Callithrix jacchus: one gene and its partner. The protein of the gene in region 1 binds, or shares a complex with, the protein of each later gene. Links are inferred from orthologs where the notes say so. Each region holds a gene or a part of one and is shown in the gene's direction. Other genes may lie near its edges.

Evidence for each region.
Region 2: the proteins of AAGAB (region 1) and AP1S3 are in contact, whole or in part, in a crystal structure (PDB 9DDT), measured with the Homo sapiens proteins. The link is inferred for Callithrix jacchus from reciprocal best matches to the Homo sapiens genes AAGAB and AP1S3. Residues at the interface, in NP_078942.3 of Homo sapiens: Asn51, Lys52, Tyr53, Tyr54, Glu108, Val109, Met110, Ile111, Gln128, Ile132, Gly135, Phe136, Glu137, Asp151, Phe153, Pro154, Glu155, Arg161, Gln164, Ala165, Asn167, Ala168, Asn169, Val170, Met176; in NP_001034658.1 of Homo sapiens: Arg10, Gln11, Lys13, Arg15, Gln37, Leu40, Ser41, Arg61, Tyr62, Ala63, Ser64, His85, Val88, Asp92, Phe95, Val98, Glu100, Leu101, Asp102, Ile104, Phe105, Asn106.

Annotation. Positions count from the first base shown.
Region 1 is NC_133509.1:14,307,530-14,312,086, reverse strand, and holds the start of AAGAB (alpha- and gamma-adaptin-binding protein p34), read left to right. Parts: upstream 1-1,566; 5' UTR 1,567-1,600; coding exon 1,601-1,673; exon of another isoform or gene 1,674-1,818; intron 1,819-4,557. Other genes in the region: IQCH (IQ domain-containing protein H), read right to left, coding at 1,283-1,333. UniProt on the Homo sapiens protein: May be involved in endocytic recycling of growth factor receptors such as EGFR.
Region 2 is NC_133507.1:145,503,685-145,507,494, reverse strand, and holds part of AP1S3 (AP-1 complex subunit sigma-3), read left to right. Parts: intron 1-1,893; coding exon 1,894-2,031; intron 2,032-3,810. UniProt on the Homo sapiens protein: Subunit of clathrin-associated adaptor protein complex 1 that plays a role in protein sorting in the late-Golgi/trans-Golgi network (TGN) and/or endosomes.

The DNA of each region.
Region 1 (4,557 bases):
GTGAGAGGCAGACACCCAGATAGAACAGCCAAGTGGGTGTATCCCGGGGGCCAGCAGCCTTCCAAACTGAGAGCCTCAGGACCTGACAACACCAGGCAGAAGGCCCCGGGTAAACGCTGACCCATGCATTTTATTCTCTCCGAACAGGTGATCATTATTAACAACAGGTGTTCGGTATTTTCTCATAACACAAAACACGCCAAGTAGTCAGCTGGTAGCCGCTTACTATTGATCACAAACAAAAAACATATTCTAAAAAGTATTCTCCACAAGGGAGCCATGGGGGCAGGGTCAGATAACTTAAAGAATTGTTTCCACAGGTGTATGACATTTATATATTGTCCTGCCACTTTGGAATGCCCCAAGTAGTTTTCTACTTGGGGGTGGGGGTGGCTAAGTTTTCCTTACTATCATTCTTCCTAGCAAACAACGTATTCTGTCACACACTCAGCATTCATCAGTATTAATAAACGTAATATTTCTCAACATTAATATTCCTAACTTAACGTTTCTCAACAACTTAGTCAAATGCAACTATTATATATGTGATAGTTAAAACTGATGATATATGTGGAAATATCTTAAAGCTACCAGACGTAAATGTGAAAACAAAATTCTATAACCATTTCAGAAACACCTGCGTGCAACTGTTGAGTAATATTCGTTAAGTCAAGACTGACATTTTCCCTCTCAAATGAAAAATCTCTTTCGGTTGGGTGCAGTGGCTCACACCTGTAATCCCAGTACTTTGGGAGGCCAACGAGGGCGCATCACGAGGTCGGGAGTTCGAGACCAGCTGGCCAATATGGTGAAACCCTGTCTCTACTAAAAAATACAAAAATTAGCTGGGTGTGGTGCCACGCGCCTGTAGTCCCAGCTACTCAGGAGGCTGAGGCAGGAGAATCGCTTGAACCTGGGAGGCGGAGGTTGCAGTGAGCCGAAATCACTCCAGCCTGGGCAACAAGAGCGAAACTCCGTCTCCAAAAATAAAAAAGGTGCCTCAGCATGAGGTGAATTTTTCTGAAGTAAAAGTTCCAGGTGAATGGTTTTAGAGTTTTCCCAGAGGCAGAATATAGTGTTCCTGGGGCGTAACCTGCAGGGTAAGTCCCTGGGAGTGTGCTGGGCCATGGGGGAAGGTCAGGGTGGGCATTTTTGGGAGGCTCTCGCGTGTTGGAGGCAGTCTAGGGACTGCGCCCCAAATGTGGGCGCCGGCAAATCGACGCGCCGGGCCTCGCTCGTAAGTGGCGCAGCTGGGCAGAGCCGGGGAAGGCCCGTTTCACACCTGGATTAAAATGGATCCGACAGGGTCGTGGTTGTCACTGTTCTGAGCCATGGCTAGGGCAGGGGGAACTGCTACCTCCGCGGAGGCGCGGTCTCCAAGCGCGGAAACCTTCAGCCCGGGGCTCTGATCCCCATGGCAACACCACGCGCGGCCTGGCCTGTTCCACGCTGGGAGCGGAAGGGGGGTTGGGGGCGGGGTCAGGCCAGCCTAGTCATTCCGAGAACGCCCTCCCCGGCGTGTCTCCCCCTCGCGCCGGCGGCCGTGGTACAGCCCAAGGCGGAAGCGGCTGCCTGAAGGAACCGGCTCGCGAATGCAGCAATGGCTGCGGGCGTACCCTGTGCGTTGGTCACTAGCTGCTCCTCCACCTTCTCTGGGGACCGGCTGGTCCAACGTGAGTAGATAGGCGCCTGGGCCGACCTTCAAGGCCCCTGAGCCTCGGCGGACGACGGCCCCAGCACCACGGCCTCTGTGGGCCTTGTCACCGCCGCGGGCCCTGTGCTCTTCCTCCACTCGGTCTAGGCGCCTAGTCTCCCCAGGTGGCTGCCCTTAGCTCTTAAATTCGTGCTTTTCTCCCCACCCGGCCCTTTTCCGCGTTCCTTTCGGCTTCTTGTGTAAAGTGAGACTGTTTCCCGTTCTGCCCTGCCCAGCCCAGACCACAGGTTTTTGCGAGGATCCGTTGAGATGAACCTGAAGGCTCTCTGGAAATTGCGCTAGGTTACAGGAGTGTAAGGTGCTGGAATTGTTGATATCGTGATGTTTATTGCTATCCTTGCTGCTCCAGTAGAGAGCGTTTCCTCTGAATTCTTGGCTCCATCTTAATGTGTACATTATAAGACTTGTTGGCTTTGTCCCCTCCACTTTAGTTATTCACGCCTTTCTTCTGAGGCGTGGGCTCTCTGCCAACATGAGTTTTTGAGTATGATTGGGCCTAGGGCCTTTGCTTATAGAACCTCATAATGGCTGTCGGACTTGGTAACTCTTTGAAGCGAGAACATGGGACTGGATCATAAGCCAACTCTACCACTTTAGTGGTGGAGCCCTTTAGGGCTTTGTGAAGTTGAATTATATGTAATTCAAGACTTCTGTTTAAAGTGTAAGGCTTAGAATCAGAGCAGTGACTTAGCTGTATGATCTTGAGCGAGTCAACTAACCTCTCTCTTTCCTTTTTTCTTTCTTTTCTCTTTTTTTTAAGAGACGGGATCTTGCTCTGTCGCCCAAACTGGAGTGCAGTGATGCAGTCATAGCTCACTTCAGCCTCGAACTCCAAGGCTCAAGTGATCTCCTGCTTCAGCCTCCCAAGTATCTGGGACTACAGGCTCACACCACGAAGCTTGGCTAATTTTTTTTGTAGAGCCAAGGTCTCGCTATGTTGCTCAGGCTGGTCTCCAACTCCTGGTTTCAAGCGAACCTCCCGTCTTGGGCTTTCAAAGTGCTGAGATTACAGGCATGAGCCACTGTGCCTACCTAGCTACCCTCCACTTTCTCTTTTTATTTACTCTCTCTCTCCCTCTTTTTTTTTTTTTAATACGGGGTCTCCTCTGCTACCCAGGCTGGAGTGCAATGGCGTTATCTCGGCTCACTACAACCTCTGCCTCCTGGGCTCAAGGCATCCTTCCACCTCAGCCTCCCAAATAGTTGGGACTACGGGCGGGTGCCATCACTCCCCATCATTCGGGATTTGGCCTAGTTGCCCAGACTGATCTATAACTTGTCGGCTCAAGTGATCTGCCTGCCTTGGCCCCCTCAAAGTGCTGGGATTTCAGGCGTGAGCACCGCGCCTGGCCCCTTCACTTTTTCTGTCTATAACATAGGACTAATTTTCTTAAGATTGTACTTAACCCAGGGTCTGGCACATAGTAAACATTTGATAAATGACAGACATTATTATTAAGGCATATTACTCTCTCTGTAACCTTCAATTACCTGAACCTTAAAATGGGGCATGTGAGCCAATTTCAGGAATATTTGAAGGACAGATGACCTGATATTTTGAATGCACTTTGTAAACTGTAAAGCATTGTGCAATTATAATTCCTTTGCTACACCTGTCAAATGACAATTAGGTAAGATATCCCTTCATTGCAAATATATGACTTCGTTATCATTTGTGATCACTTAGTTCCTTGCTAGGGTAAAAGCTTAATTATAGCTTTTAACTAAGTGGTAATCAGCTGGTCTAAATAGGCTATTTTCTTACCTTTAAGCAGCGTTCCTTCCCCTTCTCGCCCTCCTTTTCTTCCTTCATCCATCTTTCTGGGTTTCATTGTAAAACGAGTGCAGCTTAAAACAGCGTACAGAGAAAAGAAAACAGCCATAGTCTCCTTACCCAACTGCTAACATTTCTTTCCAGCCTTTGTTTCCAATGCAGTTTCTTAAAAAGAAATTGTAATCACATTTGATACGCAACTATTTTTGTTCTGTTTTTGATTTTTTAAATATACAGTTTTTATCCTGAGATTTATTAAAAATTAGTTTCTCACATGTATCCATCTAGTGCATAAACCAGGTTTGCTCAAGATTCTTAAAAATGTAACTAACTTTCCAAAAGACTTACATGCATTTGCATCTGGACTTCTATTAGCAATACATGAGAGTCTTTTCAGGATAATCTTAGAAAAAAGTTTTTTTGAGACATTGTCTTGCTGTGTTGCCCAGGCTGGAGTGCAATGGTGGGGTGTTGGCTCACTGCAACCTCCACCTCCCTGGTTCAAGCTATTCTTGTGCCTCAGCCTCCCGAGTAGCTGGGACTACACGTGCCTGCCACCACACCTGGCTAATTTTTCTATTTTTAGTAGAGATGGGGATTTCACCATATTGGCCAGGCTGGTCTCGAACTCTTGACCTCGTGATCACCTGCCTTGGCTTCCCAAAGTGCTGGGATTACAGGCATGAGCCACCGCGTCAGGCCCAGTCTCAGGAATATTAATTATTCTGTTGGCTCTGGTGTTCTGTTGTGTGCTTTAATGATCATAATCAGCAAACATGGTCACTACAAGTAGCTACTTACCTGTCATTAGCAAATAGTGACATTGTCCTTCTGTAAAGTGTATTAGCATTATTGAGGGTAAAATGAATTCTGTATAAAAACCCATTTTATCTCTGTATGTAAAATGCTCTTAGATAATTCCAATTTGGGTTAAAATTGGATGACCTTTCCATTGCAACTCATTACTGTCATGTAGTAAAAAATAAAGGAAGAACAGTTAGCACATTACTTGAATAAGGAAAAGTGAGCCATGAAAGAGGGCTTATCATTTCTTCCAGTATTATGAGTA
Region 2 (3,810 bases), on another chromosome or scaffold:
TCCTGTCTCAGCCTCCTAAGTAGCTGGGATTACAGGGATCTACCGCTACGCCCAGCTAATTTTTTGTAGTTTTAGTAGAGGTGAGGTTTCACCATGTTGGCCAGGCTGGTCTCGAACTCCTGACCTCAGGTGGTCCACTTGCCTCGGCCCTCCAAAGTGCTGGCATTACAGTCGTGAGCCACACACCTGACCAAGTTCAGCATTTTAGCAAAGCATTAGTGGTCAATGGCTTTGAGCAGGAACAGCCACCACCTGGAAGGTCATTGCAGTGACCTGACTGAGAGGTGTTGCAAGCCGAAGTAGCAGCTGTGAAAGCAGAGCAGAGAGGGAGGGTAGGGATTTATTTAGACAACAGAATCAGTAGGAACTGATGACCACATCCCGGGGGTGAGATCAAGGCGGGGAGAGCAATAAGCGGGGGAGGGAAGGTAAGTTGGTTGAACTCTAGAATGAATTAGATGGAAAATTAGAAAGAGGTTACAACTACTAAGCAAAATAGGGTCTAAGGGAAAAAGAATGGTCTTGATATCAGTTTGGGACTTGGTGACATGGATTGAGGAATAGGCATGTGAAGGTGTCTAGTCAGTGGGTGAAAATATTGGACTAGTGGCCCAGAGGGATATCAGGGCCAGTCGTCTAGGTTTGTTGAGCTACCTGCATGCTAGACACAGCATTAGAGAGTCAGTGAGTTTGTCCAGGAGAATATGCATTTTGCAAAGAGAAAAGCCTTTCTTGAGGAACATGAATATTCAAAGAGAAGATGGATGGCTAGAATATAAACAACATGCAGCAGAGATGTTTGCCTGTTCTGTTGACTGATATGTACTAGGCACAGGAAAATAGTTCTTAAACAAATGCAGGGTAGGAGGGAGAGAAATGACCCAAGGAGTCTGAGAAGGAATGATCAGAGACAGAGGAGAAAAAGAGGCGTTACGCCGTATTGCCAAAATCAGGAGAGCAAGGGAGATTTTCAAGGATCAGAGATTGGTGAAGAGTACCACATGCTACTGAGAGGTAAACGTTGGGGAGGTCTGGAGACTTTCAATGAGCAGAGTTTCAAGAGAACAGCTTCAGTTGGGTGGGTGGGGTATGGTGTAGAAAGAGAGGGTGGCAGTGAGTACAGGAATAAGTAGGGAAGACAGCAAGGAGAGGGTGCGAGTTTTGGAAATGAGCATTATTTGGATGTTGGGAGAGATCTTGCCATTCTTGCTACACTTTAAATAAACACCAGAATCTATCAGACTCTGCTTTAGTCTGTGCCAGGGGTTCTTGATGTGAAGTCCCCCAGGCCAGAGGCCTCAGCATCACCTGGGAGCCTGTTAAAAGTGCAGATTCTCAATTCTTATCTAGACCTCCTGAGTCATAAATTCTGGGGGTGGGGGCCCAGCACCTGTGTGTTTTAATGAGCCTTTGGAATGAGTTTGGGAACCACTGGCTGTGACATAATTTTGAGAAAAATTAGCACAGTTGAGCTCATTTTCCTCTGAAGAGTGAGTTTCTGAGAGAGTTTTAAAGCTAGAAGCCAAGATGTACAGAGCGGAGAGCAGGAGAAAGGAAGCTCTGCCCTCCTGCCTGGGATGCAGCTGGGCTCAGTTTTCTTGGTGCAGATAGAAAGAAAAGCCGAGTAGCCTCATTCCCTTACCGAGTCTCAAATTTCCTGTTGCAACACAAAACACTATTATCTAAGTACATGCTTTGCTTTAATAGAATGCGGCCTTCCTTTTATTAAAGGCCTGGCATTCCCCATTCTTTTTTTCTGTCCTTAAAATGCCGTCTGATATTTTTATTTTTGGTATGCCACATGAGTGCAAACTGAAAAAGCTCGAGATTCGGGCAGATATTTCCCGTGATACAACTGCAAGTTTATCAAAACATTTATTTTTGTCCTACCAGGTCTGCGAGCTGGATATTATCTTTAATTTTGAAAAGGCTTATTTCATCCTGGACGAGTTTATAATAGGTGGAGAAATTCAGGAAACATCCAAGAAAATCGCTGTCAAAGCCATTGAAGACTCTGATATGTTACAAGAGGTCAGTACAGTTTCCCAAACCACGGGAGAAAGATGATGATGATGTTAGTGTTAATAATTATGGTATTAACCAGGCTTACTGGTTACTTTGTGCTGGGTACAGTTTCGAAACTATGTATATATATTAGCTTATTTAATTCTCACAGCAATTCAAAAAGGTGGGTGGTATTGTTACCCCCACTTTACAGATGAGTAAACTGAGACACCAAGAGGTTAAATGACCTGCTCAATTTCACACTGCTGGGAAGTGTGGTATAGAGATTGAACCCAGGTAACTGGGCTTAAGAGTTTTTGCTCTTCACCTTTGGCTGAGCTTTGGAGTGCGAGGATACCTCACTGCCAAAAAGGTATCAAATACTTAGTTCTATTCTTTCCAATAATAATTTTATGAGATATATAAAAAGACTTTCATTAAAATACCTGTGCTGCCCTGGGAAAGGAGAATAGCAGTACATTGTGACTTTGTTTGCCAGGGATATTAAAGCTTTATTATTGAGCACGGTATTTATCATTGTAATTAAAATTTCTTACACCTTCTGAGAAGGCTGTACGTGTGCTCCTGTTTGCATAAATGAATTGGGAACACCGTGGCTTGCCTGCCAACGTATAAATGGGCCCTGAAGCATCCGTTTGGTATTGCTCTGGACTCTGGGATTTCCATATAAATTAAGTGGGAATGATCTTTTAGAAGCAGCACAGATTTGCATCATACCTCATCAGGGAATTTACCTATTAGCCCCTCCATTCTTCCCAAGACGCTGTGAGAAAGAGCACTTCACCCCACTGACCTCTGCCCTCACAGATGAGATGCTCTGAGGGCCTGGGTTTCATCCCAGCTCCTCCACCTCTAGATCCTCTTCCCACGGTCTCAGTGGGTCTTCCCACCTTCCTATTTTCAAATCAGTAGGTCAAGAGGATCCAGAGCTTATAAAGTACTTTTTTTTTTTTTTTTAAGTGGCATTTGGCCAGACACGGTGACTCACTCCTATAATCCCAGCACTTTTGGAGGCTGAGGCAGGCGGCTCACTTGAGGCCAGGAGTTAGAGACCTGGCCAACATGGTGAAGCCTTGTCTCTATTGAAAAAAAAAAAAATTAGCCAGGCATGGTGGCGGACACCTGTAATCCCAGCTACTTGGGAGGCTGAGGCAGGAAAACCACTTGAACCCAGGAGGCACGGGTTGCAGTGAGCTGAGATCGCACCACTGCACCACCTGGGTGACAGAGCGAGACTCGAGACTCCATTTCAGAAATAAAGAAAAATAAAAAACATAATAAATAAATAAAACTGGCATTAAAACTGTTTTTTCTGCTATGTGGAAGAGGGTGATTAGGTTAACAAAACACCATTACCTGTGAATTCCCAGCAGCTGTTTTAGTGCATCTTTGGGCTGATTACTTGCTTCCACCCAGCCAGAGAATCAGTCCTCTGGTGAATGGATGTGAAGGAAGACATCTATTTGAGTGGGTGCCACAAACAGCTGCGTGTGCCTATTAGCAGTCCAATGGATTCATTACCAGAGGAGTCTCACCTCAAAAAATGCATTTAAACTCTCCAATGTTGATTTGGCTGTCTCCAAATGCCACAGGGAGAAAACTTTACAAAGTATTTGAGAAATCAGTGGTTTGGAAATTTCACAAAACTGTTTTATAAAATCTACTGGGGGTTGGGGTAGGCAGAGAGGGAGGAGGTTTTTTTAAATTCTATCCTCAGGGTCCTGACTGTGCAATCTCCTAACAAGAGAAACAGACTTTTAACAGGGTCTTTGGCACTTCGGTAAT